Ovis aries: one gene and its partners. The protein of the gene in region 1 purifies or fractionates together with the protein of each later gene. This does not show direct contact. Links are inferred from orthologs where the notes say so. Each region holds a gene or a part of one and is shown in the gene's direction. Other genes may lie near its edges. The genes, in order: HIF1A, HDAC4, LAMP2, SEPTIN9, FASN, YAP1 and CTNNB1.

Region 1 (4,006 bases):
TTTTTTTCCCCTAGTAACAAAGTAGAGATTTCCTCTTTGCAATTTCCTCCTTGCTTTACAGGAAAATTTTAGAAAAATCAGATATATAAAGATGTTATTTGGTATTAAAAAGAAATTTTATATTTGAAAAGTTCTATAAATATACAGAATGTTTGTTATAAGTTGAGCTAACACATTTGGAGGAGTTTGCTTAAGTTCTTTTTTGGCGGGGGTGGGGGAGGTGTGCTTTATACACTGATAACACAGTTAGGGAGCAAATTCATACTGTGTTTATATTTCTTTGTAATCTGACCAACTCTATTGGCTTGAATGTGAAATGATTAAGTGTTATTCTCATCGCACCATCTCAGGGAATCACTGCTATTGTGAACCCGTTACTTACTACAAGTGTGTTAAATCCCTTGGATATATTGGAGTGAGCAAAGCAGGTGTGAAGCATTGTTCTCATATTGAGACTTTCCATTGAATAGCACCTAGGTACTGGGCACTGTGCTACTTCTTCTGTAACACATTTGTATATTTAATTATGTTTTTAAACTTTATTTCATGTTTTCATTAGGCCTTGTAAAAAAGGGTAAAGAGCAAAATACACAGCGGAGCTTTTTTCTCAGAATGAAGTGTACCCTAACTAGCCGGGGGAGAACTATGAACATAAAATCTGCAACATGGAAAGTAAGTATAAAAATTATCTGTGACTACAGCTGATTCCTAGATAAATTAATGCATCTTCACATTACTAGTAGTAAGACAACATTAGAACTGTGAGGGAAAACTTATTGTTCCTTTGTGTTTATAGATTTGATATCCAAAAAGTTTAGTAATTCATCAGTTAAGAGGCATGAACTTAAGTTATGTGGACATTCAGCTTTGCCAGCCACCCAGTGTTTGAATCTTGCTAACATTAATATTTTATTCATTGTTGTATCATTTCTTTGCTCAGTTTTGAAACATCGTCATCAGAGCAAGAAATAACCATCAAACAGGTATAGTGGCCAGATAAAAACAAGCTCAGATTTGTACGAAGGGAAATTTTTTCAAAGACTAATCTTATGGTACCTGAAGAGTAGGTCATGGGTGGTAGTGTAGAGAAAACACTGATTTTCAAAAATATAGTGATCTACTAATGATAGTAAATTTTATCAAAGCTTACTTGCCATGTTAGACTCAACTGTCTCTGCATTTTGTTTTTTACTAGCATAAGTTTTTTAAAAAACTGTTTTGTTTTTCTTCATACTCAGGTACTTCACTGCACAGGCCATATTCATGTATACGATACCAACAGTAACCAATCTCAGTGTGGGTATAAGAAACCACCGATGACATGCTTGGTGCTGATTTGTGAACCCATTCCTCATCCATCAAATATTGAAATTCCTTTAGACAGCAAGACTTTTCTCAGTCGTCACAGTCTGGATATGAAATTTTCTTATTGTGATGAAAGGTAAGTGAAATAAAATATAACTTGAAATTTTTAATTAGTCCACAGAATTGTTTTAACTGTTGACTACAGTAAAGACTGAAAGCTGAAAGAAAAATAGACCTCTTTAATAAATCTAGTTCTCTAGCTGTGGTGTGCAGGCTTCCTTCCACTTAAATTGAGTACAATTATACATCCTAGAATATAGTAAGATTAACTTTACAGATTAATTCAACCACATTTATTGAACATTTACTGTGTACTTACTGTAGCAGGTGCTATCCAGTGATTATTAAGATGAGGTTTTTTTTTTCCTTTAGGTGTTCTAATTTATTTAAAGAAAAAAATATATTTCAGAGACATACAATACATAATTTGAGGAAGGATTACTTCTGGTTGTGGACTAGAAAGGAAAGCCTTTGGTTGTCTCTTCATCCTACGTATTTTTCCTGAGCAGCTTTATCCTTGCTGATGGTGCTGTTTTGCAGATTTCTATCCATATCTATTTCCATTTAATTGCCAATTTGATATTTTTATCTAGATACATATTCTTCTGTATTATAAACTAAATATTTCCATACCTGATTGAACCACTCCTATCCCAAAACAACTTCAGAAACAAGTTTTTCCTCTTACAGTACCTATCATGATTAATATACCAGTGAACACATATAACTCCAGCAAAAATTGGAAAGTCATCCTTAACTTTTCTTTTGCTCACTGATCTACATTCTGTTTCAAAATCTTAATAGATTTACTATGTGTGTCTCCTCCATTCCCTCCTTCCACTTGCTTTCGTGCCGTTGAGTTCTTCAGCTCATTATTACCTTTGGCTTGAACTGTTGCCATTAAAGTCTCCTAACTGCATCTCTGCCAACAGATTTGTGCCCTTTTAGTCTCATCCAGGTTTCCAAGAAGTGAACTTCCTAATGTGAAAATCAGATCATGTCTTGTAAAAATGCCTCATTGCTTCCCTTCATCTTCACACACAAACTTTTGTTTATAAAAAATATTAGAAGGGTGGGAGATTTTTATTTATCAAAAGAAGACATGCATTTTGAAAATCTGAAAGAAAAATAGACCTCTTTAATAAATCTAAACTTCTTAGCATGGCAAGGAAAGATATTTATGATCTGGCCCCTGGTGACTTCTACCCCATTTTTTTTGTTGTTGTTGTTGTTGAGATTTTATTTTTGACCGTGCTAGGCCTTTGTTGTGGTGCACGGCCTTCTCTCGTTGTGGTGTGCAGGCTCAGTTACCCTGTGGCATGTGGGATGTGACCAGGGATCAAACCCATGTCCCCTGCTTTGGATGGTGAATTCTTTACCATTGGACCACCACGGACATTCCTGATTTTCCCAAATTAATCAGGAGGATGGGAAGACCCTTCTGATGTGGCCCTTAATACCCTACTTCCAGAGAACTCCACATGCTATTTTGTTGTCTTAGTACAGTGATAGTTTTCTTAACTCCAAACACAAACTTAGCTTCTAAGAGTCACTCACCGCATCTACTTGTAGAGCTTTCCTTGTTTCTTTAAAAAGCTACTGTTCCTTATATGTGGTCTGTCATAGCCTTTTTTTCTGTTTTGAAATTATTTGCTTGCTTGTCCCATTTTTTACTGTAAAACTGTAACATACTGGCTGAAGGCATAGGTTTTGTAACCAGACTACTAAATGCTGACTTTGCTGCCTATATCCAGATGATCTTAGACACATTTCTACTTTGCTTTGAGCATCAGTTTGTCACAGTATAATACATGTATTTGTATTATTTTAAAATTGAACGTTATACGAGAAAATTGATCTTAAGCCCTATCCTACTGGACGGGAAAAGTGAGAAAGCACTGGCTTTGGAATCACATCATTCTTGATTCAATCTTGGCTTGTGGTCCTGGTACTTATAGTGTGGCCTGGGTGTTAGAACTTAGCTGTTCTAAATCTCATCTTCCTTATCTGTTAAATAAGGGCCATGCTTCAAAAGGCTGTGGTAAGGATTATGAGAGTTTGTTGAGAGCCTAGTGCACATAGTGACTGCTTTACCACTGGGGTTAACTTGAAGAAACAAAGACAGAAATGCCAAGAGATATTTTATCGTGTTTGGTGCCAGTATTTATATCAATGCATGATAGAACAGATATGCCAATCCTTCTTTAGGAACTATTTTTACGTTTTTGAACTCAGTATATAAAGTATAGGGGTGGGTTGGGAAGAAAGGAAAGTGATGGAGTTAGAATTATAATGAAAGGGAGTGACATTGTCCTTCTGATTATATCAGAAAGTTATCCAAATGGTTGTGATAGAGAGCTAAAAGCAGCCTGCTTAGAGACCAACCAAGTAAGATTTTGAGTCTGACCAGGAGATAGATGTTTTCTGGTTACTCCTTCTAGAACTTCTCACAGTTATACCCGTTAAGAACCAACATGGGAAAAATTTTGGAAAAATTTGCCTTCTAGAACTTCTCACAGCTATACCCATTAAGAACCAATGTAGAAAAAATTTTGCTCAGTATTGAGGAATTCTAACATATCAGACTTCTTACATCCAAAATATCCCACAAATGACTATTATTTATTGTCCTAATTTCCAC
Region 2 (4,456 bases), on another chromosome or scaffold:
CGAAAGGGCTACAGTTTGAACGTCACTGTTCTAGGTGTTCTTCTCTGGAGGCTCCATCCTTCGCAGGAGCACCTCCCTACGCCGGCAGGGCTGTCCCCACGCAGGTGTGACATTCGGGATGGGCTGCCCAGTGGGCTTCACAGCTCCGACCTCGCCGCAGACCCCATCACGCCCCCCTGGGGTGCGACCCAAGGGGAGTCTCTGAAGGCCTCCGCAAGGCACAGCCCGGACTCTGAGCACTCGGGGTGAACGGATTGGCCCGGACCCCCGCCCAAGGTGCATGCGAGCCCGGAACGACCGGAAAGTGGGTGGGAAGCCGTCTCTGCGGCCTCCGCCCGGGACCGGGGAACTCGGACCAGACTCGGAGAGCGCTCGCGCATCCCCTGGCCCTCCGCCGGCGCAGGCGCACTGCGCTCGCCCCGCGCCCGCCGGGAAGGCCGGCCGGCCCGGCCCCGCGCCCCCAAGGCCGCGTTCCCGCCGCGGGGCAGGGCGGGGCCCTCCGCGCCTGCGCACTCGGCCTTCGCACCGCCCCTGCGTCGCCGGGAGCAGGCCGCACCACGTGATCGCTGCCCGTACCCAAGATGGCGGCCGCGGCCGGGCCTCACCGGCTCCCCTCTTCAGCCCGCGCCTCAGCCTCCCCTCGCCAGGAGAGCGGCCCGTCCGGCCCTCACTGCTGGGCCCCGCGGCGCAGCTCTCTGGGGGCGGCGAACGAGGCTTTCCGGGGCCACGGCCCGTGTTGACAGTCACCACGCGCCTGGACTCCCAACACTTTCCCAACCATCAGGCGTCCACCAGCTGGCGCCTATAGCGTCCTCTGATAGCCCCGCCCCTGGGATTGGCAGCTTCGGCAGCCAATGGGGACCAGGAGGCGGGCGGGGGTGGAGCATCCCTGGCGTTCGGAGGGCGTTGGGCCTGGCGAGTTGGAGGCCGCGGGGCCGATGGGCGGGACCAAGCGGGGCTGTTCCCGCGACCCCCCCAGTGGGCCAATGGGAGGGCCGCCGGGCGCCCGGGGAGGGCGGGCAGAGGGCGGGGCCGAGCCGTAATTGACGAGCTCTTCATTAGAAACCGGGCGGGAGGGAGGGACCCGCGAGGGGAGGTGATGCAAGGCTGGTGCAGCCAATAGCCGCAGGGCCGACGGCGGGAGGGCGGGGCCGGGGCCGCTGACAGGCGTCGGGGCTGGCCTATCAGCGCTCGCCTCGGTGCCGGAGGGGGGGAGCGGCATCATGGTTCAACGTGGGTCAATTTTTTGTGAATGAGGAGGGGAGGTTGTGGGGCCGCCGCTTGCGGAGCACCGTCCCCGCCGCCGCCGCCGCCGCGCCCGAGCCCGCGCGCCCGCCCGCCCGCCCGCGCCGCCGCCTCAGCCGCCTGGGCCCGGCGCGCCGCGGCCGCGTCCCCGCCGTCGCCGCCGCCCGAGCTCCCTCCCGCCCGCCCGCCCGCCGCCGGCGGTGGTGGTGGTGGTGGTGGCGGCGCAGGCTGAGAAGATGCGGCTCGGAGCGCCCGCCGCCGCCGCCGCCGCGGTAAGCGCTGCCCCGGCCCGGCCCGCGGGCCATTGTCCGCCCCCCGCCCGCCCGCAGGCCGCCCGCCCGCCCGCCTCCACGCCCCCGCCGCCCGGCCCGGCAGGTGGACGCCGGGGGTCCGCCCGCCCGCCGGCCTGGCCCCGGCCCGGCCCCGCGCGCCCAGGCCGCGCGGCCCCGCGGGCGTCCGGAGCGGAGCCGGAGCCCGTCCCGGACCTTCCCCGCTGCAGCCCCCCGGCCCGGCGGGGGCCGCCCGCGGGGCGGGGGCGCAGGACGGCCGGCGGGCCTCCCCGGGGCGCCCGGTCCCGTCCAGGCCGAGCCCTCGGCAGGTGGGCCGGGGGGCTCCCGAGCCCCGGCGGGCGCCGTTTATGTAACTTTGTCGAGGCTGTGAGTTTGCAGAAAAACGTCCCTCCCGGGGCTGGCGGGCGGGCGGGCGGGCGGGGGTGCGCCGTCGCCGGGTGTGTGTGCCCCGGACCGGAACGGCAGGGGTGGGGCGCCCGCGACCCGAGGGGTGCGGGCAGGCCGAGCCCTGGGCCCCGTCCTGCCCAGGTGACGGGAGCCGCGCTTGGCGGCATCGCAAGCTCCCACCGTGGCATCCGAAGCAAATTATCTCGTATTTACATTGAGCGTTGAATTATTTGACACTGTTATAGCAGGAGATCGTGCGTATCAGTCGGAAAGGCCGGGGGTGGAACCCAGTGTACTCATTTAATGCACATCAGAAATTTGTAATAACTTGCAGCAGCTGATACGCGTGTTTTCTTTATTGCATGTTGTAAATTGACCTGCTGTGACACAATTTTCAAATAAAGTGTTGCAGAAATTAAGCTCAAGTTATTTTAAAACTAATGACTTTCTTAACTAAATCCTAATTGCATTACTGTAGAGACCTACCTAATTGCTTGCAGCAGCTCTCTGCCTGCCCTGGGCGAGGGAGGGAAGGGGCCTGTGGAGTTACTTTCCTTCCCCTCTTCCCTCCGCTCAGGCTTTTCTGTTTATTCCCACAAACCGCCTAAGCCGGGGAGGCCTGGGAGTAAACATGTAAACAGCCCTCGCCCAGCGCCAGCCTAGCAAGACTGGGGTAATACTGGTGGGTCTGCACCTTGGCCTGGTTTCACTTTTTCTTTTGTACCGTGATCGTCTGTGGCCTGGAGTTTTAGTTGCTTTTGATAATTTTCTTTGGGTTGAGCCAGGGAAGGTGGTGGTGGTGACTGGCGGAGGGGGACAGGCAGGGGGAGGGAGAGGGATTGAATTAAGAAAACTCAGCTGCTTGTACACAAATATACACTACAGCAGTTACAAAGCAACAAAAGTTATTGCAGAATTTTGCGGTCACTATGGCAACACAATTACTCTATTATAATTGGAAATGCAAAATGCCACCCTCTTAGAAGTTTCATCAGAATGGAGTTTGGATATCAAAAATATGTGAGATTTAATTTTCTTTTTCAGGTAGCTCCTGAGCATTCTCAAATCTGTGTTCAATCATCTATTTTTAAGACCCAGCAAGCTTTCCCAGATATTCTGTTCCCTGGGCTCCGTGGCATCTCCCCCAGAACTCACATTTGTGTGGGAGGGAAGTATTTTCCTGCCTTAAAAACACACACCCTGACACATTGTTAGACTTGTATAGCTTTCTGTGTTCTGGGCTTTTATTTTAAAGATCAAATACCTTCCTAAAGAGAGCAGTAATCAATCAGAAAAGAAGCACGGTTTATGCGGCAGGCAGATGTAACACTGCCCTCTTTAGGGTTACTTCTCTCTCCTGTGATCGGAACTGGCGGCAGGAGCGCCCCTGGGAGAGCCCTGGGCTGGGGGTGTGTGCGGGGGCGGAGGCCCGCGGGGCCTGGGGACCAAGGACAGATGTGGCCTCAGCAGCCCTGAGCCAAGAGAGAATGTTCTGTGGTCAGCAGCTTCACAGCCATGAGAAAGAAAAATCTCTAAATGCCATGTTCTCGGAGGCCTTGGGGGCCGTTACTGTAGCAAGATGGGCAGAACAACATGGCCCCTGGGCCACGTGGGTCCAGAGCACCGAGCTTGGCTCAGTGGCCAGAAGCGTGCTTTCTAAGGATGCCCCTCGTGTTTACCAGGAGGACTCCAGTTCTGGAAGTTTCCGCACGTCTTTGGGTTGCTGCAGTTGAATTTCGTTCTAACTCTTTGCTTTTAACTACTGCATATTTATGTCCAGTAATCGACTTCCATTTTCCAGCTGCATTGTGAGGTTTCAATGCAGCATGAATGGCTTTGAATTCTCATCCTTTGATGTTGGGGGTGGCACCGGAGGAAAGGCGACTTTGTGCCGTCTTAATTGCCAGAGCAGAAGAAACATTTCATCACTTCTGGAGAATCCGTCCCTACCGTTCTCTATTGAAAACGGCTGGGCTTTCATTGCTCAGAAGCTGCCTGAGCTATAGATTGGTACCTGATGGAGGGAGTAGGGGAGATGCAGAGAGCGGGCTACGGCTCTGCTGGGGTGGCGGGATGACGGCCCCTGGACCCGAAATCCCTGCTGGGAATCAGCTGCCGATCCGCGTTAGCCCCGCCTCCGCGGAAGCCGCCTCGCTCTGTGGCCTGCGAGGCTCAGCCCTTGTCCCCGCTGTTCTAGCCGGAGGGCAAGTTCTGCCCCAGCGGTTGCGGCCCTTGCTGGTTCTGGGGTGGGGACTGGGGAGCCAGTCTGGAGGGGGCTTGGTTTGAGTCTCAGACGGTCAGTCGGGATACGTTGCAGTGTGCAGTGGGTTGTGGTCTTTTGGCCTTGAGTTAGAGAAAAGCAAAGGGTCTCTGGTTCAAGTCAGATGACGGGCCTGTGTCAGAAGTGACGCTGCGTCTTCACACGCCTCAGCAACGTGTGTTCACAGGCCGTTTCTTTGGGGAGACGCGTCACCGAGCTCAGATCAGCGAGTTCTGTTAGGAGGTCATTTTCGTCTCTTGGGCTCGTGTGGCTG
Region 3 (4,006 bases), on another chromosome or scaffold:
GGATGCTTTTTATACTGTTCATGAGGTTCTAATGGCAAGTATACTGGGGTGGTTTGCCATTCGCTCCTCCAGTGGATCACATTTTGTCAGAACTCTCCTATGACCCGTCTGTCTTGGATGGCCTTACACGGCAAAGCTTGTAGCTTGAGTTACGCAAGCCACTCGCCATGACAAGGCATGTGGGTCTTTTTTTCCCCCATTGGAAAAGACCTGATGCTGGGAAAGATTGAGGGCAAAAGGAAAAGAGGGTGTCAGAGGATGAGATGGCTGGATGGCATCACCATTCCAGTGGACATGAACTTGGGGAACTCCAGGAGGTGGTGAGGGACAGGGAGGCCTGACATGCTGCAGTCCACAGGATCGCGAAGAGTTGGACACAACTGGCGACTAAGCAACACCACCACAGGATGCTATGGTGGGATACAAAGAAGAAGGCCTGTGTTCTTAAGATGCCCATAATCTATTGGTCAAGGTGTGTGCGTGCATGCACTCAGTTGCATCCAGCTTTTGTGACCCCATGGACTGTAGCCCACCAGTCTCCTCTGTCCATGGAATTTTCCAGGCAAGAGAACTGGAGCAAGTTGCTGTTTCCTTCTCCAGGGGATCTTCCTGACTCAGGAATCGAGCCTGCATCTCCTGCGTCGGCAGGCAGATTCTTTACCACTGAGCCACTGGGAAAGTCCCCAAGTGATAAAGATAACAGTGTACAGATAACCACCACTTTTATGGAAGGCCTTGAATGCCCTGCTGGCTTTTGGATTTGATTCTGTGGAAAAGTAAACTGTGCTGTAGGAGGTGCATTCAAAGTGGGATGAGTGTTAGACCAGAGGAAAGTACAAAGTGCTATGGGAGTAAAGGAGGGCTTCCCAGGTGATTCAGTGGTAAAGAATCTGCCTGCTATTGCAGGAGACACAAGAGTCCCAGGTTCGATCCCTGGATCAGGAAGGTCCCTTGGAGAAGGGAATGGCTGCTTCCAATATTCTTGCTTAGAGAGTTCCATGGACAGGAATCTGGCGAGCTACAGTCCATGGGCTCACAAAGAGTCAGACATGACTGAGCGCCCTAACACAACAATGGAAGTATAGAGGAACGAGCCATTAATTCTGGCTGGAGGAGAGTCAGGAGGGTTTTACAGAAGAGATGGCATTAAAGCTGGACATTCAAGAATGGGCCAGATGTGTACATATGGAGTATAAGGGGAATAAGTGAAAAAGTACAGAATATCCCTGGATAAAGGAACACAATCAAGACCAGGTGGAAAATGAGGCATGGAACATGTTTAGTGAATCATAAGTTTGGAAGAGTGTTTGGGACAAATTGTGGAGAGCCTTGAATGGTGAACCAAGGAGAGATGGGGTGGCGTTGTCAAGACTTCTGTGTGCTTTCTCCTGAAGTTCTCTTAGTCTGCCCCCTTGTTTTCATTCCCTACCGATTCCGGCCTCCATTACCACTTACCTCCTATCTAGTTTCAGACCACCTCCTAACAACCCCCCCCTTCTCCTCCCCTCCCCTAATGTACTTCGGCATCAGCTGAATCTTCTTGAAGCTCAGCTCTTTCTCAGAAACCTGCAGTAGTTCTGTTTTGCCAACAAGAAAACATCTAAATTCCATGCCTGGGGTAGTTCAAGCCTCCTCTCCCCGCTGTGCAAAGTAACCTGCATATCCAGCTTTATGTTTCCTTCTTTCCCTTGTCGTGAAGCTCATGCTTCCGTCACCCTGTTCCCTGTGCACATCCAGTGTGGTAGGAGAGTGGCCGAGGAAACAGCACTCAGGCTCCACAGCCAGACTCCCTGGGGTCAAATCCCAGCTAACTCTGTAGCCTTGCGGAAGTTGCTCAACACCCTCCATGGATCAGTTATCCCATCTCAAAATGGGGTGTTGTAATTCTTCCATGAAGCCTCCTGGGTAAAGTTTTAGGAACAGTGCTTAAAGTTTTCAGATGCCAGTGTGCTTGCGATGATGCTTATTTCTGACTTCTTTATTCAGGCTCTTCCCTTCTTGAATACTTGTTTGTGCTTCTTTCCTAATTGAATCCTACCCCATTCAGAGAGCCCATCCCTAACTTTCTGTTGCCTTTGCTCCTTCCCTAGTTGGAATTCCTCTCCTTTTATTCATAATTTATCACTTTTTTTGTAGTGTGGTTATTTATTTTTATTTGTCTTCTCTGGCAGATTGTAAACACAATGGGGGCAGGATCCAAATGTGTCCATTTTGCTGGCTCCCTGGAACACTTAGATGTGTTACCTTGTACATACTAAGCGGTGAAGTAATTGGAAGGATCCTCTGATCAGCTTAATGCTTCAGAAAGAAAATAGCATTGGAGGAAAAACAGAGCTGGACAGGCAGAAAGGCAGGGAGCCCTGTGAAGAGGCTGTTGTGATCCAGGCTAGAGGTGGTAAGGGCTTGGAAAGTGACAGAAAGATCAGAATGGAGGGAGTGAATTGCTGAGTGTCTGGGAACCAGGTGAGCACATCATCTCTGGTCCCAAAGCTGGAAACAAAAATGAAGAGGTAAAAGGGTATCAGTCACATTTTGAGTCTCTTGACTTATTTGCAATTTGTGCTCCTGGGCCAGGTCTAATCCATGGTTGGATCTTCTGGGTAATAGTATTAGATTGCTCTCCTTCCATAGATGTTAACTGTGTCTGTAAACAGCTGTGATGCATTGACTAACTGGATGCTTTTTTTCACACAGAAAAATGAAAACCGATTCTATCTGAAGGAGGTGAATGTCAGCGTGATTTTGGTTAATGGCTCTGGTAAGCAAAACATTGGCCTGGGAGGTGGGGAGGAGTATAGGTTTCACTGAAAGAATACAAACCATACTTATCTTGTTACCAAATAACAAGATAATTTAATGACAAGTGCGTTATTTAATGGAACAGAAGATTCTGTGTTAAAATTGGGCTTTGACCATAACTTAGAACCGGTTTCATCTTTTGCAAGATCTTGTATTTTCAAAGCATAGTAAGTAATAGTTAAAGAATGTGACTGGGTTTTAGACTGTTGCAACATCCAAAGAGATAGGGAACCTAGTTAGTGATCTTAAGAATGGCTTTTTGTGGGCAGACCCTGTACCCTGAGCTCTCCTGTATTTCACAGAAAATTCCTCAGGATTGTCTTCCCCCTCCTCCCTTTTTAAAAAATATTGACAGGATAAGAAGTTACTAACATTTTTTTTTTCCTTTAAAGTTTACAGCATTTCAAATACCAATCTCAGCTACTGGGATGCTCCCCTGGGAAGTTCTTATATGTGCAACAAAGAGCAGACCGTTTCCGTGTCTGGAGCACTTCAGATAAATACCTTTGATCTAAGGGTTCAGCCTTTCAGTGTGACAGAAGGAAAGTATTCTACTGGTAAGAATCAAGCAAGTTTTATTAATAATTTATGCTCATAGGTTGACTGCTAGGTGGCTTTTCTTTTGAGTCGTGGAAATTTAAGCCCTGGAATAGAGAAATAGGAATTCACCTCTCGACTCTTATAGCCCTGAGAAAGTGGTGTGACTGTATTAGCTAATCATTTTGCTCAAATTAAGTGTGTTTTGTAATCTCAAAATCATTTGCAGCAAAGTTCTTAAGGCTAAAAACTGATAGGTCCTTTAAGTGAGCTTTACATACTTTGGCTACCTCAGCAAAGAGTTGACTCATTGGAAAAGACTCTGATGCTGGGAGGGATTGGGGGCAGGAGGAGAAGGGGACGACAGAGGATGAGATGGCTGGATGGCATCACCGACTCGATGGACATGAGTTTGAGTGAACTCTGGGAGTTGGTGATGGTCAGGGAAACCTGGCGTGCTGCGATTCATGGGGTCGCAAAGAGTCAGACACGACTGAGCGACTGAACTGAACATAAGATGCAGACACTCCTCCATGGGTTGTCATTTGTGGGAAGGGTGGCACTGGAGAGCAGCGGTTTTTGAGCATCTTGACTGTCTTCTTGGGGCCATCTTCTCGCTGGAAACATTTTCATACTCGAATTAAAGCAGTTTGGTCTCATTTTATTAAGA
Region 4 (4,006 bases), on another chromosome or scaffold:
CCAGCCTTGAAAAGATCTTTTGAGGTCGAGGAGGTCGAGACGCCCAACTCCACCCCACCCCGGAGGGTCCAGACGCCGCTGCTCCGATCCTCGGTGGCCAGCTCCACACAGAAATTCCAGGACCTGGGTGTGAAGAACTCAGAGCCTGCAGCCCGCCATGTAGACTCCCTGAGCCAGCGATCCCCCAAGGCCGCCCTGCGGAGGGTCGAGCTCTCCGGGCCCAAGGCCGAGCCCGTGTCTCGGCGCACCGAGATCTCCATCGACATCTCGTCCAAGCAGGTAGAGAACGCCGGCACCGCCGGGCCATCCCGGTTCGGGCTCAAGCGGGCCGAGGCCCTGGGCCACAAGACGCCGGAGCCCGCCCCCCGGAGGACGGAGATCACCATAGTCAAGCCCCAGGAGTCAGGCCACCGGAGGATGGAGACCCCCGCCTCTAAGATGCCCGAGGTGCCCACTGCCCCTGCTGCTGACACAGCCCCCAAGAGGGTCGAGATCCAGGTGCCCAAGCCAGCCGAGGGGCCCGCCTCCCCCATCCCACCCCAGACCCTGGAGAATTCAGAACTCGCCCCGATGTCTCAGCTGCAGAGCAGGCTGGATCCCAAGCCCCAGCCCCCCGTGGCCGAGATCCCACCCAAGAGCCAGGAGGGTGAGTAGCAAGGTGCCAGTCGCCTGTGCTGTGATGACTTGGGGAGTGGGGAGCTGGCTTTGCCTTGGAATCTTGGAGAAAGAAGCTGAACATTGAGTTGAGGGGTGGCTTATACTTCTGAAATCTCAGGGGCAGGGACTGGGGGGCTCTTTCTGTCCCATAGTGGACCACAATGCAGCAAGTTGGATTTCAGTTAGACTCTGCAAAGAATCTCTGGGTTGTGAGGGTCCCCCTTTAATTGGTCAACAGGGTCGTGGTGTAACCATGGCTGCGACCCCAGGATGTAGGGGCAGGAACCGGGACAGGCTCGTGCTGGGGCGGGATGGCTGTGAGACCCCAGGACAGGCTCTCTCAGTCCTGGTGGGTGGTGGTCTCTGGGCCTTGGAGAGGCAGGCTCGGCTTCTAGAAGGGTGACATGTGCCCTGCAGGTGCCCCCAGGGCAGAGGCTGCGGGAGGTGGGAGGGGGCGGTTCCTGCCCTGGAGGGTCTTCCTCCCAAAGGAGGGAGGGTTGTGCCCAGACACGAAGAGGGCATGACAGCACCTCATGTCTGCATGCTAGGGTTTTCAGGGCTGCCAGGAGGGGTCCCAGGCCAGGGAGCCCCGTGATTCCTGCCCACGACTCTGTTCAGGGCTCTTCTGCTGGCTAGGGGGCGATTGAGGGCATGCTACTGTCCTTGGAGGGTCCAGACCCAGACTTGTGCTCACAGGGAGCTCACAGGGGACGTGATGCTGTCCCATGAAACACCATTGCTGCCCCCTGCCCTACAATGAGGGTCTTGGCTCCACAGGCTATGTTAAGGTGCCGGCTGAGCTGTGAGCCTGATGGAAGCTGGGTCCGGTTGTAATCCTGGGCCTCCGAGCTCAGTAAATGTTCAATAAGTGTCCCTTGGGTTGGACAGGCAGAACATTATGGGTTTTTGATTAACCTTTTAAAAATTGTTTTCATGGTGGTAAAACACGTATAATATTGACCATTGTAGCCGTGTTTAAGTGTACAGTTCATGCATATTAACACATCGTATTGCTGTGCAACCATCTCCACAACTTTTTCATCTTCCCGACTGAATCTCCGGCCCCATTACCTTCCCCCAACCCCCAGCCCTTGGCGCCCACCTTCCCACTTTCTGTCTCTATAAGTTTGACTACTCTGGGTCCTTCCTGTAGGTGGAATCCTGAATATTTGTCCTTCTGGGTCTGGTTTATTTCACTTTGCACGTCTTCAGAGTTCATCCATGTTGCACCAAGTATCAGAATTTCCTTCCCTTTCTAAGGCTGAATAATATTCCATTGTATGCATAGACCACACTGCGTAGCCATCCATTGGTTTTGTTTTTTTTTTGGTAGGTCCTCGATACATATTTATTGTTTTGAAAATTCCTTTGAAAGCCTATTTCTTATTTTTCCTTTTTAAATTCTTTTAATTGAAGGATAATTGCTTTACAGAATTTTGTTGTTTTCTATCAAACCTCAACATGAATCAGCCAAAGGTATACATATATCCCCTCCCTTTTGAACCTCCCTCCCAGCTTCCTCCCCGTCCCACCCCTCTAGGTTGATACAGAGCCCCTGTTTGAGTTTCTTGAGCCATACAGCAAATTCCTGTTGGTGACCTCTTTTACATATGGGGATGCGAGTTTCCATGTTACTCTTCCTATACATCTCACCCTCCCCTCCCCTCTCCCCATGCACATTCCCTATGTCTGTTTCTCCATTGCTGCCCTGTAAATAAATTCTTCAGTACCATTGTTCTAGATTCCGTGTATGTGCGTTAGAATACGATATTTATCTTTCTCTTTCTGACTCAGTTCACTCTGTGTAATAGGTTCTAGGTTCATCCACTTCATCAGAATTGACTCAAATGAGTTCCTGTTTGTTGCTAAATAATATTCCATTGTGTATATGTACCAAACTTCTTTATCCATTCAGTCAATGGACGTCTAGGTTGCTTCCATGTTCTAGCTGTTATAAATAGCGCTGCAGTGAACAGTGGGATACATGTGTCTCTTTCAGCTTTGGTTTCATCAGGGTATGTGCCTAGGAGTGGGATTGCTGGGTCATATCGTGGTTTTATTCCTAGTATTTTAAGGAATCTCCATACCATCTTCCATAGTGGCTGTATCAATTTACATCCCCACCAACAGTGCAAGAGTGTTCCCTTTTCTCCACACCCTCTCCAGCATTTATTGTTTGTAGACTTTTTGATGAGGGTCATTCTGATCAATATGAGGTGATATCTCATTGTGGTTTTGATTTGCATTTCTCTAATAATGAGCGATGTTGAGCATCTTTTCATGTGTTTGTTAGCCATCTGTATGTCTTCTTTGGAGAAATGTCTGTTTAGGTCTTTTTCGCACTTTTTGATTGAGTTGTTTGTTTTTCTGACATTGAATTGTGTGAGCTGCTTGTATATTTCGGAAATTAATCCTTTGTCAGTTGTTTCATTTGCTATTATTTTCTCGCTTTCTGAGGGTTGTCTTTTCACCTTGCTTGGTTTCCTTTGCTGTGCTGCAAAAGCTTTTAAGTTTAATCAGGTCCTATTTGTTTACTTTTGTTTTTATTTCCGTTACTCTGGGAGGTGAGTCATAGAGGATATTGCTTTGATTTATCATTGAGTGTTCTGCCTATATTTTTCTGTCAGAGTTTTATAGTTTCTGGCCTTACATTTAGGTCTTTAACCCATTTTGAGTTTATCTGTGTGTATGGTGTTAGGAAGTGTTCTAATTTCATTCTTTTACATGTAGCTGTCCAGTTTTCCCAGCACCATTTATTGAAGAGACTGTCTTTGCCCCATTGTATATTCTTGCCCCTTTTGTCAAAAATAAGGTACCCATAGGTGCAGGGGTTTATTTCTGGGCTTTCTATCTGTTCCATTGGTCTATATTTCTATTTTTGTGCCAGTACCATACTGTCTTGATGACAGTAGCTTTGTAGTGTAATCTGAAGTCAGGAAGATTGATTCCTCCAGCTCGATTCTTCTTTCTCAAGACTGCTTTGGCTATTTGGCGTCTTTTGTGTTTTCATATGAGTTGTGAATTTTTTTGTTCTAGTTCTGTGGAAAATGCCATTGGTAATTTGATTATCCATCCATTGTTGATGGACACCTGTGTCCTAGTACTGCTTGGCTGTTGTGAGAAAAGCTACTGTGAACTTGGGTGTACAGATATCTCTAGTTTCTGCTCTAAGTTCTTTCTTTAAAAAACAAAAACAAAAACCACAATATATTTATTTGGCTGCCCCAGGTGTTAGTTGCAGCATGTGGAAACTAGTTCCTTGACCAGGGATCGAACCCAGGCCCCTGCATTGGGAGCAGGGAGTATTAGCCACTGGACCACCAGGGAGGTCCCTAACTTTCCCTTTTAA
Region 5 (4,714 bases), on another chromosome or scaffold:
AAGTCCCCATCCCTCTGTGGTGCAAACAAGGGTCTCGAACTCAGCCACCCAGCCTGCAATCGTCCTGTCACCTGGGCCCCTGGTAGACTGCAGTGAGCAGAGCCCCACTGACCAGCGGGAAGTAAGCCTGGGATAGTTTAAGACACCAAGAGTTGAGGGTGTTTGTGCAGCATGGTCTACCCATTCCTGATCCAGGATACCGGGTGTCTGAAAAGCTCTTAAGTAGGAAGGAAAAGAAAATCCCACAAAGTTATTTGGGACAGCAATTGAGCTGCGGGATATCCCTGCCCTCTCTCCTTTTTTCCTGTCTTGCTCTTTCTTTTTTTTTTTTTTCGGGTTGCTCTTTCTTTCAAACCAAAAGTGCAAACCAGAAGTCCCCAGTGATGACGCCAAGAGGAAGACAAGAGGAGGAGGGATGAGCTGCCACTGGAGCACTGTAGGGTTTGAGGGAGGGGCACCTGAATCCAAGTTACCTGGTTTGGCGGGGCAGTCCCCTTCTGTCCTGCCCAGAACATCTGTGGCCAGTGCCATGCTCCACAGTCTTCAGTTTCCGAGACAGGGGAGGAGAGCAGCAGCGTTTGATTACAAGAGAAATCGGCCAGGCACCTCTGCCAGGGCTTTTCTGACCTCACAAGGGTCTATCAGTGGTCCCAGGAGATAGTAAGGACCGTGCAGGGCGTGGCCACCAGGCCGTCCTTCCCGGGCTCGTGATTCCCGATCCGTGTTGTCTTGTTTGTTTTCAGTCTGGAAAGTCAAGGATTTGTGTGTGTGTGTGTATAAAATCGATAAACGTTTGAGCACGGGAATTACAGAAGGAGGGTGTGCGGGCGAGGAGAGAACGCACTTCCATTGGTTCGTGTGCGTGCCGGTGGGTGAAAGTGGCCACGTGCGCGCGCGAGTGCCTCTGCCCAGGGAGACTCCTTTGTTCAGACCACACCAAGAGGTGTCCGTGCATAGCCCGCTCGCCAGATGGCCGCGCCCCGTCCCCACGGCCATCTGCGGAAGGCCCCTGCAGGCCTCGGAGCTTCCCCCGCGTTCCCGCACTCGCCCCGCGAATTTCGGCGGCGAGGCAGGGAGGACCGGAGGCGCTGTGCTGCAGTGACCGACAGTAACCCCGCACAGGGCACCCTCGGCCGGGTCAATGACCGCGCTCGCTCCGTTGCGGCCCGCGCAGCTCCTGGGGCAGCCCGGCCCATCACCCTATCACCTAGCAACGCCCACTCGAGGGGCGCCATTGGGCCAGCGCGCACGCCCCCGGCCCCCAATTGGCTGTGGCTGCAGAGAGAGCCACGCCCCCGGCCCGGCCCCACGCAGCCCGGACGCGGGCTGGTCAATTCGTACGCCTGGGGGTCCGTCTAGCCCCCCGTGTTGCCCTAGTATGACCCTCAGAGTGACCGAAGTACGCCCGTTCCGTTTCCACCGCGCGCCGTGCACACGTGGCCCCCGCGGTCCCGGGGGTGGGGGCGGCCCCGGGAGGCGTGGAGCACGGAACGGAAGTTGGGGGGCGGGGGTGACACCGTGCCCCGCCCCGGAGCCCCCCGAGTCCGGGGCCCCCAACCCGGCGCCACCCGGGCGCGCCCCCGCGCAGGGTCCCGGCTCCCGGCGGCGGCGCGCCGCATCACCCCACTGGCGGCGGCGCGCCTGGTCCCGGGGCGCAGCCCCGACGCTCATTGGCCTGGGCGGCGCAGCCAAGCTGTCAGCCCATGTGGCGTGTCCGCACGGGGATGGCCGCGGTTAAATAGCGCCGGCGCGGGCCTAGAGGGAGCCAGAGAGACAGTAGCGGCCTCCCCACCACCGCGCGCTCCATCCTCGCTCTCCTTCAGCCGTTCGCAGAGCCGCCCGCGCCCATACCAGGTACAAGCGGCCAGGCCGGGCCGGGGTTGGAAGTTGTGAGTTGGGAACCCGGTCCTGGGGCCAGACTGGATCAGGGGCTGGGGCGGGAGCAAGGCGGCCGGGCTCGAGGGGGCGCCGCCGGCCCGCATCCTCTGGCCTTGGGTGCGCATGGTCCGGCGCGCTGATGGTGAGGGCTCATCTCGCACAGCCTGCCCTGGTCTCGGGGTCCGAGCCTCCGGTCTGTATGTTCGAGTCCCACGAGACCCCCGAGGCTAGGCGGCGAAGGGCCCTCGCGCCGTGCCTAAGCCCGGCGGGGCAGGTGGGCAGATGGCGAGGGGCGGACGCCCGGGAACGCCGCGAACAGCCATTTTGGTCTTGGGCTGGGCCGGGAGGCTGCAGACCCTCGAGGGCCTGTTGGAGCCCCCAGCCGCCACGCCCTGGAGGGCCTCCTTTTCCGGCTTGGCCGCCGAGCCCCTCCACCCGCGGCATCCCGCTGCCTTCGGGTGCAGGATAGCCGTCTCGGCCGACCGGAGGGCCTGAGAAGAGGGGAAGGACGTGGATGGAGGAGGCGCAGGGCCGTATAAGGACGGCTTCTCCACCACGTGGGCTCCGTTTGGAGCCCCCAAAGTTCCGGGGGGAGAGCCACTCCTGGCGGGTACAACCTCGCGGCGGCGCGCGCGGTTTCGCCAGCGCCGCAGGGGTCTCCACCCTTTTGCTTCGTCCTGCCGGACTCCGCGTGAATAGCAAGTAGGGGGAGAACAGAGCGGGCGCTTTCTGGAGAAGCAGCCGCCCCGGGAGCTGGTGCTTCTGGGCCGGCAAAGGGCTCTTTATTCAGCGCTGGGGGAGGGGGCTCCCTCTGCCGGGACGCCAGGGCGATCAGGCCACCCAAGGAAGACGCTCTCCACTCCTACTTTCCCATGCTCAGAGAAACCCTAAATCGGCGCCATAAGGCCCTGGAGCCTTGGTGGAAGTTTGCAGGACCAACCTTGGCCTTGCCCCCTTCCTCAGGGACTGCACAGGAGCCCTGGGCCCACAGGCTCAGGGTAGACTAAGTTCCCTCGTTGGTGCTGGGAGACCTGGGTCTGGGTGGACAGGCAGGCTGCTGGATCAGGAAGTAGGCAAGCGCGGCCCTGAGGCCTCGACCTGTGCAGATGTGTGGGTCTGGGTAGTGCTTGCCTGGCAGCTGACCGAGAGTGGTTCTCCAGGTTGGAGCCTGCTGGAGGGGCCATACAGGCTGGGGCTGCCCACTGTGAGACAGGGACCAATTTTTCCCCAGAGCCCCTCCAGGTCTTGGCACTGTTGAGCCCAAGCTGTGGTTCCTGCCTGGAGGGCAGCTCAGGATGCTGAGCGCAGAACCAACTAGTCAGTGTGGGCACTTCTTCCCACCCCCATATTTGCCCTTTCTCCTTCGCCTACTAAATTCCCTGGGCCACCTCTTAACAGGATGGCAGCCAGGCAGTCCTTTCCTCAGAAGGGTTTGGGCCCTGCCTTCCACTATGGGGCCCCTCCTGAGTCTCCTGCAGCAGGGCAGTGGTGGGGTCACCCCAGGCCAAGGCCAGTGCCCAGAGAGCCCAGTGCGCGGTGTCAGCAGGCTGGACCAGAGTGGACTCCCCTTTCCCAACCACCATACATGCACTTCACACACGTGCACACACAGCGTCCCAGCAGGGGCACAGCCCCAGAGCCGGCCATGTGGATCTTTGTTGCAGGGCTTTCTGAGCTGCTGTTCTCAGACCCTTGGGTGGGCCAGATGGAGGAGGGGGATCAGGAAGCCAGGGTTGGGAAGCAGCTGGGTCTCCAGCGAGGCTGTGGACTGGCAGTGCCCGGGCGCAGGCTGACCAGTGTCCGGGCCCCCACGCCACCCTCCTTGCAGAGAGAGCAGCCATGGAGGAGGTGGTGATCGCTGGCATGTCCGGGAAGCTGCCCGAGTCGGAGAACCTGGAGGAGTTTTGGGCCAATCTCATTGGCGGCGTGGACATGGTGACAGATGATGACAGGCGGTGGAAGGCGGGTAAGTGGGCCTGGGGCTCCCCGCCTACTTGAGAGGTTCTTTTCTCACCGCTTCTGTGGACGCACTCTCCCGGGTTACCAGGCAGGCCTGTTTTGGCCGGCACTCTGGTCCCAGTGGCAGAGCCAACGGTCACCTAAGGTGAGGCCATGTTATAGCCTCTTTCTGGAGACGGTACCAGAAGGCTCTGGGCTAGGGGAACCTGGGACCTCTGGCCAGTGGGCTAGGTACTGTGGGAGTCTGGAGTTCCCTGGGCATAGCCTTTGTCCCTTTCACAGACCAGGAGCATTGCTTGGGGGTGGAGCCAGGGCAAGGCCAGGTGGGTGAACACCTCCGGCCAGCCACTGCCCGCCCACGTGCTGTCCCAGGCGGTCAGATAAGACATCAGGCTCCCCCGGGAAGCTGGTTTGACTCCCTCACGCCCAGTAGGTTCTCCCGCAGAGTGGCTCCACCTGATCTACAGGGTGTGAGTCAGTGTGGCAGAGCCTGGCTGGCCTTAGCTGCCAGGCTGGGATGGGGCCAGGCAGAAGGTCTCCAGCCAGGTCAGGACAGCGGGAGGTGGGAGGAGGCAGCGCTGCCCCCTACAGTGCTCTGCTCTGGGGCCATCACCCATGAGGTTCCCCCTGCCCCAGGGCCCCTCTCAGAAGTGGGCCCACCCATCCCAGGGAGCTTCAGCTCTCTGTTGCAGCAGGGACTCCCCCGCAATCAATCACTCGGGGCCATGATGTCCTATGACTGATTTCTCCACCTGTGTGTGTTCCCTAGGACTATATGGCCTGCCTCGGCGGTCAGGCAAGCTGAAGGACCTGTCCCGGTTTGACGCTTCCTTCTTCGGTGTCCACCCCAAGCAGGCGCACAATATGGACCCCCAGC
Region 6 (4,006 bases), on another chromosome or scaffold:
CGATTTCAAATGTGTGGCATGCCAGAAAAGCAGTCCTTAAAGGTAAATTTGTTGACTTAAGTATTCTAAGAAAAGACTTGACTAAGTGAGTTCAACTGAAGAAGTTGGGAAAAGAGCCCTGGCAGTCCAGTGGCTATGACCCCCTGCTTCCAAAGCAAGAGGCGTGGGTTCAATCTCTGGTCAGGGCATTGAACTAAGATCCCCCATGCCATCTGCCATGGCCAAAGTTTTTAAAAGTTAGAAGAAATACAGGAACAATAGAGGGGGAAAGTAAAAACAAAAATGTTGTGACTTTATATTAATATCTCAGTAGGTTGAATTGAACTAAGGCATTCTCGGAGAAGATTGGTCTGTAATTTTCCTTTTTTCTAATATCCTTGGTTTCAAATCAATGTTATACTGCCACATAGAAGAGTTGGTAGTCTATGGGGAAATTGGTAGGATTTCTGTATTGCCATATCTTTTAAAAAGTTAAATTTCTGCCTCAGTGCATAATGAAAGGGCTTAGAATCATTTCAGTGTTGTTTCCCCACACAGATTTTATGCCAAGTTGCTGGTCTAGGCACTAAGAATATATGTGCGGTTGGGATTCTGTCCCCGCTCCTGAGGCACGTGTTTGAGAGAAGATGTGTGTGCTCAGTCGCTTCAGTCGTGTCCAGCTGCTTGCGACCCTGTGGGCTGTAGCCCGCCAGGCTTCTGTCCACGGGATTCTCCAGACAAGAACACTGGAGTGGGTTGCCATTCCCTCCTCCAGGGCATCTTCCTGACCCAGGGACTGAACCCATGTCTCTTAGGTCTCCTGCATTGACAGGAGGGTTCTTTACCACTGGTGCCACCTGGGAAGAGAAGATATAAATTTGTAAATAAAAAATGACAGGTGAGAAATGTCAGTAGACAGAGTCCCAAGGCAGTGCCCTGGAAGAGGTTTGTTCAGGTGGCCTCCAAGAGCTGTACCTGTGGTCCAGCCGAGGACATGTGAAGATCATCACAAGGAGTTTGCTTTGTGGCCAGGGTCTAGTAAGTCATGAGCACCACCAGTGAATCATTTCAGATTTTGGTAGCAAGGTTGATGAGAGAGAGCCATCTATGATTTTTCTTTGTTTTAGTGTCTTCGTAAGGTATTAGGGATATGCTGGTCACAAAAGCGTGAAGTTTCCTTCTTTGCTGTTCTCTGCAAAAGGTTGTAAAAGATTAGTGTCATTTCTTCAAGTGTCATATGTATTAAACAGTGACCTGAAATGTCACCTTAAAAAGTTGAATAGATGTCTGAAAAGGTAATGTATCATTCTTATTGCCATTTTCACGTAATAAAACTTGCATCTGCTTACTGAGGCTAACACAATCCATAGTTTGATCAGTGTTTTATCAGTGACAGAAATTCACTATTATAAGAATCCAATCTAATTGTCAAATGGTGTATTACAGGTTCAACTCAAAAAGTAACTGACTACCTTGGCTGTGTGGGGGGTACAGTGGTGTTGAATGAGACCAATCTGTGCCGTCCAGATGTAGGCTTTATTTGGAGCATGCATCTAACCTACTTGATTTGTTAGTTAGCATTGTATTTAAAGATTAATAATGAACTTTACTGCTTAGATTGCTTTCTCTTAGTTAGTTTGAGGGATTTATTTTTAATTGGATATATATTTTATAATAAGCGGTGCATTCACATTATTCAAACTTGAAAAGTTACAAAAAATGTCTCTCTTGAACGTCAGTTCTTTAGTCACCCAGTTCCCCAGCTACAGAGCCAGCAGGTGTTGATTGCTTCTTATCTGTCCTTCGATTGAGATTCTCTGGATATGCATGTAATATATCAGTACAGCCCTCCTCTGCCTGTCCTGTTCTGTACTGTGCCTTTACCTTTGTGTGCCTTAGACTTCTCCGCGCCATTGCCTGTTAGAGCTGCTGCTTGTTTCTTTCATCTTAAGGCCGCATACTACACTAATGACAAGGATGTCTGTAATAATAAGAAACTGATGTACCCTTTGTACTATTGGTGGGTTTTTAGGTTATTTCTGATCTTACTACAGAAGAGGCTATGTTGAATGTCCCCATCATGCTTGTGAATAACAAAAAATCCTTTTTCTTGGCTAGTTTTTTAGAACAGATCTTCTGTTTCCTTGCAGCCATGAACCAGAGAATCAGTCAAAGTGCTCCAGTGAAACAGCCACCCCCGCTGGCCCCCCAGAGCCCACAGGGAGGAGTCCTGGGTGGTGGCAGTTCCAACCAGCAGCAACAGATGCGGCTGCAGCAGTTGCAGATGGAGAAAGAAAGACTGCGACTGAAGCAGCAAGAACTGCTTCGGCAGGTGAGGCCCCAGGTTAGAGACCAGCCTTCCACTCTTGGGGCTTTGTTTTCCTACGTGAAGCTGGGTGTGTTTCATTTTGGCATTTGTTGGTTACAGAGGAATGTTGTTTCTCCAAAACTAGAGTGACACAGAAACACTCTGTCCAGCTCTGTCCCTGTCTTAGTTTCTCTGCTGGCCTCTGAGCACGTGGGCTGTCACTTGTAAACCTGTGTCACACAGAGGCGTTTGGGCCATGTTCACTGCAGTCAAGCAGAAGGCAAAGGAAGCAAGGGTGCTTTTCCTCAAATATACAGGCATACCTCGGAGATATTGCCCATCAGTCCCAGACCACCACAGGAAAGCGAGTATTACAGGAAAGTGAATCACATGAATTCGGGGGTTTGCTGGTGCATATAGACGTTAATGTTTATACCATACTATAGTCTTAAGTGTGTAACAGCGTTATGTCTTAACAGTGAACATTTTTTAAAAGTACTTAACTGCTGAAAAAATGCTAGCCATCATCTGAGCTTCCAGTGAGTCATCTTTTTGCTGTAACATCACAGATCACTGTTATAAATAAAATAATAATGAAAAAGGCCAAAATATTGTGAGAATTACCAAAATATGACACCAAGGCGTGAAGTGAGCAATTGCTTTTAGAAAAATGGCTCTGATAGACTTGCTAGTCGCAGGGTTGCCACAAACGTTTGATGTGTTTTTAAAAAAAAAAATGCAGTGTCTGTGAAGTGCAATAAAACGAGGTATGTCTGTACAGGGAATTGCAGACTATTTAATATCTGAAGATTTCGCTAAGGAAGAAACTCTGGAACATCACTTGGGGAGAAACATCTTTTACTTTAAACAAATTATTTGTCTAGGAGAATATACCAGTATGATAATATACCAGTATGATACCTCTCAAATGACAGCTGTGTTTCACTATTGCTGAATCTAAGATGTGTTTTATTTAAAATGTAACACAGGCTATCCCAAGTTTAGAAGATCCCCAAGTGCCTTAAAATTACCTGCTTGTGGTTGTTTTTTCACGTTGGGAAGGGCAGATTCTAACATTAGAGAGCTGGAAACCTTTAGGGCCATTTCTGTCAGTTTTCTTTCAGAAATACTGGTTTTTCTGTGCCATATCATCTCAAATTTCAGAGTGACAAAAGCTAAAGTTTAGATTTTGGGGGTATGATCTTAGTATATTTTAAAATTTTTATATAAATATTTTGGGTAATAAAAACACAATGTGGTTTTGAAAGTGTACAAAGTGAAAATAAAATCTCCTTTTCCCATTTCTCTAGTTCTCTTTTCTGGATGTAAATAGCTAACCAGTTCTTATACTTGCCCTCACCCCCGCCCCAGACATTCTCTTTATTTACAAACATGGAATACAAGTGCCTCTACTACTGCCCCGCCCTAAATCATAGCATACTAAGAACAGGCATTAAAAATACCATTATAGGCTACATTTTTGTTGCCAGGATGTAGGCATTTGAACAAGGTACTGTTTTCTTCATGAGGGTTATATTTTGATAGTGTCACTTGAGTGTTAATGGAAATAGATGAACTTGATACAGTGATTGAACTCTGATTTGAGGTTTGAAGAACTGGTACCCAAGAATTAAACTGAGCCATGAGGACTCCAGGCCGCCATACTTGTAAACTGAGCTGTCAGTAACCTGCCACTATAATCTGGTGTGGTTGGCCCTA
Region 7 (4,666 bases), on another chromosome or scaffold:
ACCTGAAAAATGCCATTGATACTTTTAAGTTTATATTAGAAACACTGCTTTGATAAAGTATCTTTTTCTGCTCAATCAGTTCAAATTATGACCAGATGATTAATCACAACCATCCTCTACTCTTAATTCTACAGAACTACTGGCAAAGACACAAATGAGAAAGTCATTGTAGACAATGGGTCTCACTGAACATCATTTGAGTCTGTGGACTTTTTCCACTGCAGGGGCCCACTACAGCTATGGTGCTAGCCAGCAGTTAACATTATCACTGGTATATAATAAAATATAATTAAGATAGGGGGAAAATTGAATTTTTAAAGAACATGTTGGCCCTGAAGCATTAGCTATACCTAAAACTGCACAAGCTACTCCACAATTGAATGAGAGGGTTTCCTGCCGTACCTATGTATAAAGACCTATTGTTTGCATGCATTAATTACAAAGATAAAAGCCTCAAGATAACTTTCACTGTTGCTTTTTGTACTCTCTCCATTGTTTTGGAGGAAAAATAAGCATCCAACAATAGACTAGAGAAAGTGAATCGATCATAATTGTTTCAGCTTTGACAAACACCAAACCTGCTGATTACAATGGAGACATTTCCAAGGGAAAACAAGACCCAACTTCAGCCTATTCAAACGAATTAAAAAATTTTTTTGAAGAATAGAAAATGAGTTTTAAAAAATTAGAAGCTGCTTAATGGATAGCTCTTTCCATGAACAACGAACTTGGATTTCTCAAAGAAGTAATACCCTAGAAATAAACTTAGAATGAAAGAAAAATCCACCACCACCCCCAATATACTGATACTTAGTAGCAAAGTGGAACCAGTTAAAAATGGAAACTGTAAGAATTAACCTAATTGGCAGGGCTGTGGAGCTAGTCCATGTCTATCAGTCATTTGTTCAGTTAGGGACTCCTAAGGACTTGTTGAATTGCGGGCTAGGCGCCTATCCTAACGAGAGTTCGCAGCCTTCACGAGCGGGGAAAGCCGGCGGCTCGGCCGGGTGCTTCATTCCCAGATTCAAGATGAACAGCCGGTAGGGATGCGAGATCCACGACCTGGACCGTGGGGGGCTCTGAGGTGATGTGCGGCTTGGCTGCGAGCCAAGTCCTGCAGAGAGCTTGGGGCCCAGACTGCAACGGCAGCGGAAGCACGAACGCGCCGGGGTCCCCTGACCGGGAGCAGGGCGGCGGCGGCGTCCGGCAGAGTCCAGAGCGGGTGGGCCCAGACCTCAGCTCCGGCATTGCCGCCGCCACCTCGGCCCTGAACTTTCACCCCCCAGGGACGTGTGCCGCCTGCCCCGCAGGGCCGGGGTCCCGATGCCGCCTCCCGCCGGTAGCCGGCAGCGCGCAGCCAGCCTCGCATCTGTTCTCATGGCCCGGGGCATGCGCGAGGCCGGGGCGTCGGGCTCGGGACAGTGGAGAATACCGGTGTCGCCCTCCCTCCAGCCCACCCCGGCTCGCGGAGACCCGCGCCTCCCTGACTCGGACTACCGCGCCCTGGCGGGCCGCCCTCCAGTCCCGCGCGGCGGGGCAGCGCCGGCCTCAACCTGGGAGAGCGCCCGCAGAGCGCGCGGGCGCCCCGCCCCTGCCCCGGGCTGGCGGACCGCGGCGGCGGCGGCGGCGGCGGCGGGCGGCTCCGCGGCGCGGGGACTACTTTCCGCCGCCCGCCCGCGCCCCGCCCCTTGTCCCCGCGCGGCGGAACGCTCCGCGCTGCGCCGCTGGCGGCAGGATACAGTGAATCCTGCGCGACTTATAAGAGCTCCTTGTGCGGCGCCATTTTAAGCCTCTCGGTCTGTGGCAGCCGCGCTAGCCCGGCCCCGGGAGCGAAGAGAGAGGGGAGGCGGAGACGGAGCAAGGTCCGAGGAGCAGCTCCGGTCCCCGTCGAGCCGCCAACGCAGGCCGAGGACGGTCGGACTCCCGCTGCGGGAGGAGCCTGTTCCCCTGAGGTGCTTGGGCGCTCCTTTCCTTACCCGTCTGGGGCTGCTCCCCTTCCCGCTTCGGAGCCAAACTTCGTCGCGGGCGCGCGGTCCCGGCGGCGGCTGGGAGCCGGACCCGGCGCAGCCCGAGGCCCCGGGGTGGGGAGCGGGGAGGGGCGTGTGGGCTGGGGGCGCCGGGGAGGCGGCAGAGGCGGACCGCGCCCGGGGGGCTGAGGGCGGCGGCCGGGCCCGGTTCCGGTCGCGCGGCTCCTTCGGGAGCCCCGGGGGTGCCGCTTTCGGGGAGGGGGCGCCGCGAGGGCGCGTCCGGGAGGTCGGGTGGCCAGCGGGGTGGGCGGGTGGGTGGAGGGGGCTGTGGTTTCCGTCCCGGGCTCAGGCCGCGGCTGAGTTTGGGGGAGGGACCCTGCGCCTCGGGATGCGCCGGGGCCGGGGTGGGGGGCGGGGTGGGGACGGGGGACTCCGCCTTCCCGGCCTCCGCGGGGAGTTGGGGTGCGGGCGCTGGGCCTGGGACGCCACGTGAGGTCCTATCTTTCGTGCTTAAGGACGAATTTTTTCGAGGGTTAATAAGAGGTTAGTGATTTTTAATGGCCTGCCGGTGTGAGTACGCTCGTTTAAATCGGAGCAACTTTAAACCTTAGAGGATCCAAACTGTTAGTGCAGACGGTGTGATGCGCCAGGAGGATTTGCACAGATAAAAATCCCTATCTTGCACCTACATTTTTTTGTACGGTGCAGGTGAGTGAAAGCGGGCGTGCTAGGGAGGTCCTGGGAAAAATAAGGGCGAGGGCGTCTGGCTTACTGTCTCTTAGCAAGTGACCCACAGGACTCAGATTGCGACTGCTTCGAGAATTGTGTGTTCCTGGAGATTCTTTATTCAAATAGTTTCACGGCAACTAAACTTGATTTTGAGAGCGCTTTCCAGCGGGGTGAATTTTCCCCTCGCTACGAAATGGCCCGCAGGAAATTCAAGCTTTGCAACTTCGTTCCGTGTTTTGTCTGGAGAGAGGACTTGGAACTGAGACTTTCAAAGTTCGCTTTTCACAGCCTCCTTCTGAGTCTACTAAACTTGAAAGCTTTGCCAGTCGGGTGTAGTTGTTTGCTTCGTTTTCTTTTCGGTGGTGGAGGGAGCATTGTCTCCTACTTTGTATCTTCCAGACATCTGTGGTCTCCCCCCACCCCCACTCCGGGTTTGTGAGTGGTGAATGAAGGGAGACTGGTCTGCTGGTATGCAGAGGTCGGCAAAAGGAAATCGAGGAGTGGTTTTAGTGAAACGAGAGCTTTGTGTCGTGAATAGTGGTGGCTTAGACTAGACAGCAGCTTGAAGAGACGGCTCGCCTTTGATAAAGTCTGGGCTGCTGTTTTTCAGATGGCTAAGTTGTAAGTATTTTGTCTGGAACTTGGGAAGCCGTTTCATTCTGTCTCTTGGTGTACATTCAGTACCTTCGGCTATCTTCCTGTTAACGTGTTTCCTTAAGAGATACTGGACATAGCTTGACTCTTTTGTTTGTTAATGTTTCTGTTTAATATCTGCTTAGATTAGTGACAAACTTGTTTGGGAGGCATTTTTTTCGGTCTGAACTAAGGCGGCTGCTACATTTATTTTATTTTTACATTCAAGCGCACGAACCTCTTGAGTTTAAAAAAAGGTGCCATTAATGTTTGCGAATATCTTTTCACGAAATTTGATTAATTTGCGTCCAGTATTCATTACTTTGACCTAGTCTTTGTTCTGAAGGCCATGTACAAGGCCCTAAAGTGATTGCAACAGTAACTTGAAAAACTTCCAGGAGCCTATTCTATAGGATTAAAGGAATGCTGAGGCTATTCAAGTCTGAAGTCCTTGAGGGGGAAATTAAAAAACTGTGCTACAAAGTTTAGTATAGCATGTAACTTAGAGTCCTTGAGGAGTTCTAGGCTTGAGATTTTCCCAGAAGCTAGAGCAGCCATTTAAAATTGCTTTCAAGAAAAACCAAATTTTAAAAGGTGACTTAAAAAAAGTAAAACATTTAGTAGTGTTCAAGTGTCAGTGTCCAGCATTTTTCTTTCGAAACATATCCTTTACCAAGATAATCGTGTAGATGATTATGTAGATTCCAATATTAAAACTGAAATCAGATTGAGCTTCTTACTGTTGCTAATGATAAATGGAATAAAATTATCCATATAAATGAAGTTGTATATTTTTCTTTTCATACACACTTCCCTCCTCCACTCCCCAAATAGGAAGAGAAAACTTGAAGTAGGCTGATTTCTCTAAGAGTGTTTTGAGATTTGGTTCTTGGGAAAGCTATATGCACACAGCCTGTTTCATTGTTGGAAGGAGTGGAAGGAAGAGCATAAGTATTGTTGAAACTAGGGACGTGGAGAATTCAAAAATTTGAATCTCACTCTTTTATACTTTAGCAGTGAAATTAAAATCCCAGAGATAGGTTGTTTGTAGTATCTTTAGCCAAATGAAACTTTTGTGTTACTGAAATGAAACAATACAGCATCCAGTTATAATGAGATTTTGTTTCTCTTTTATGGTTTACTAGTTGCTGATAATAACTGCAGAGGAGTAGGTGGTAAATTTTAAGTATGTACTTTGAGCTTGGTTGGAAGCATGCTTGATTGCCAGCCCAGGGCAGAAAGGATGAATACTTTTAGAGCAGGACAAACTTGTAATAAAAAGTATAACAGCTCTTTCGTGCTGCATGTTGACTTGTGACTTTGGTTGTGAAAACACT

Evidence for each region.
Region 2: the proteins of HIF1A (region 1) and HDAC4 purify together in Homo sapiens (affinity purification with western blotting; 4 studies listed by BioGRID and IntAct, with this or other methods). This does not show direct contact. The link is inferred for Ovis aries from reciprocal best matches to the Homo sapiens genes HIF1A and HDAC4.
Region 3: the proteins of HIF1A (region 1) and LAMP2 purify together in Homo sapiens (affinity purification with western blotting; 3 studies listed by BioGRID). This does not show direct contact. The link is inferred for Ovis aries from reciprocal best matches to the Homo sapiens genes HIF1A and LAMP2.
Region 4: the proteins of HIF1A (region 1) and SEPTIN9 purify together in Homo sapiens (affinity purification with western blotting; 4 studies listed by BioGRID and IntAct, with this or other methods). This does not show direct contact. The link is inferred for Ovis aries from reciprocal best matches to the Homo sapiens genes HIF1A and SEPTIN9.
Region 5: the proteins of HIF1A (region 1) and FASN purify together in Homo sapiens (affinity purification with western blotting; 3 studies listed by BioGRID and IntAct, with this or other methods). This does not show direct contact. The link is inferred for Ovis aries from reciprocal best matches to the Homo sapiens genes HIF1A and FASN.
Region 6: the proteins of HIF1A (region 1) and YAP1 purify together in Homo sapiens (affinity purification with western blotting; 3 studies listed by BioGRID and IntAct, with this or other methods). This does not show direct contact. The link is inferred for Ovis aries from reciprocal best matches to the Homo sapiens genes HIF1A and YAP1.
Region 7: the proteins of HIF1A (region 1) and CTNNB1 purify together in Homo sapiens (affinity purification with western blotting; 7 studies listed by BioGRID and IntAct, with this or other methods). This does not show direct contact. The link is inferred for Ovis aries from reciprocal best matches to the Homo sapiens genes HIF1A and CTNNB1.

What each region holds. Positions count from the first base shown.
Region 1 is NC_056060.1:71,938,176-71,942,181, forward strand, and holds part of HIF1A (hypoxia-inducible factor 1-alpha), read left to right. Parts: intron 1-559; coding exon 560-672; intron 673-1,238; coding exon 1,239-1,441; intron 1,442-4,006.
Region 2 is NC_056054.1:2,119,497-2,123,952, forward strand, and holds the start of HDAC4 (histone deacetylase 4), read left to right. Parts: upstream 1-1,354; 5' UTR 1,355-1,517; intron 1,518-4,456. UniProt on the Homo sapiens protein: Responsible for the deacetylation of lysine residues on the N-terminal part of the core histones (H2A, H2B, H3 and H4).
Region 3 is NC_056080.1:104,773,872-104,777,877, reverse strand, and holds part of LAMP2 (lysosome-associated membrane glycoprotein 2), read left to right. Parts: intron 1-2,694; coding exon 2,695-2,758; intron 2,759-3,191; coding exon 3,192-3,356; intron 3,357-4,006. UniProt on the Homo sapiens protein: Lysosomal membrane glycoprotein which plays an important role in lysosome biogenesis, lysosomal pH regulation and autophagy.
Region 4 is NC_056064.1:53,911,946-53,915,951, reverse strand, and holds part of SEPTIN9 (septin-9), read left to right. Parts: intron 1-4; coding exon 5-646; intron 647-4,006.
Region 5 is NC_056064.1:50,275,656-50,280,369, forward strand, and holds the start of FASN (fatty acid synthase), read left to right. Parts: upstream 1-1,763; 5' UTR 1,764-1,854; intron 1,855-3,706; 5' UTR 3,707-3,717; coding exon 3,718-3,844; intron 3,845-4,606; coding exon 4,607-4,714. UniProt on the Homo sapiens protein: Fatty acid synthetase is a multifunctional enzyme that catalyzes the de novo biosynthesis of long-chain saturated fatty acids starting from acetyl-CoA and malonyl-CoA in the presence of NADPH.
Region 6 is NC_056068.1:6,217,553-6,221,558, reverse strand, and holds part of YAP1 (transcriptional coactivator YAP1), read left to right. Parts: intron 1-2,129; coding exon 2,130-2,323; intron 2,324-4,006. UniProt on the Homo sapiens protein: Transcriptional regulator with dual roles as a coactivator and corepressor. Critical downstream regulatory target in the Hippo signaling pathway, crucial for organ size control and tumor suppression by restricting proliferation and promoting apoptosis.
Region 7 is NC_056072.1:13,821,094-13,825,759, forward strand, and holds the start of CTNNB1 (catenin beta-1), read left to right. Parts: upstream 1-1,786; 5' UTR 1,787-1,952; intron 1,953-2,420; exon of another isoform or gene 2,421-2,510; intron 2,511-4,666. UniProt on the Homo sapiens protein: Key downstream component of the canonical Wnt signaling pathway.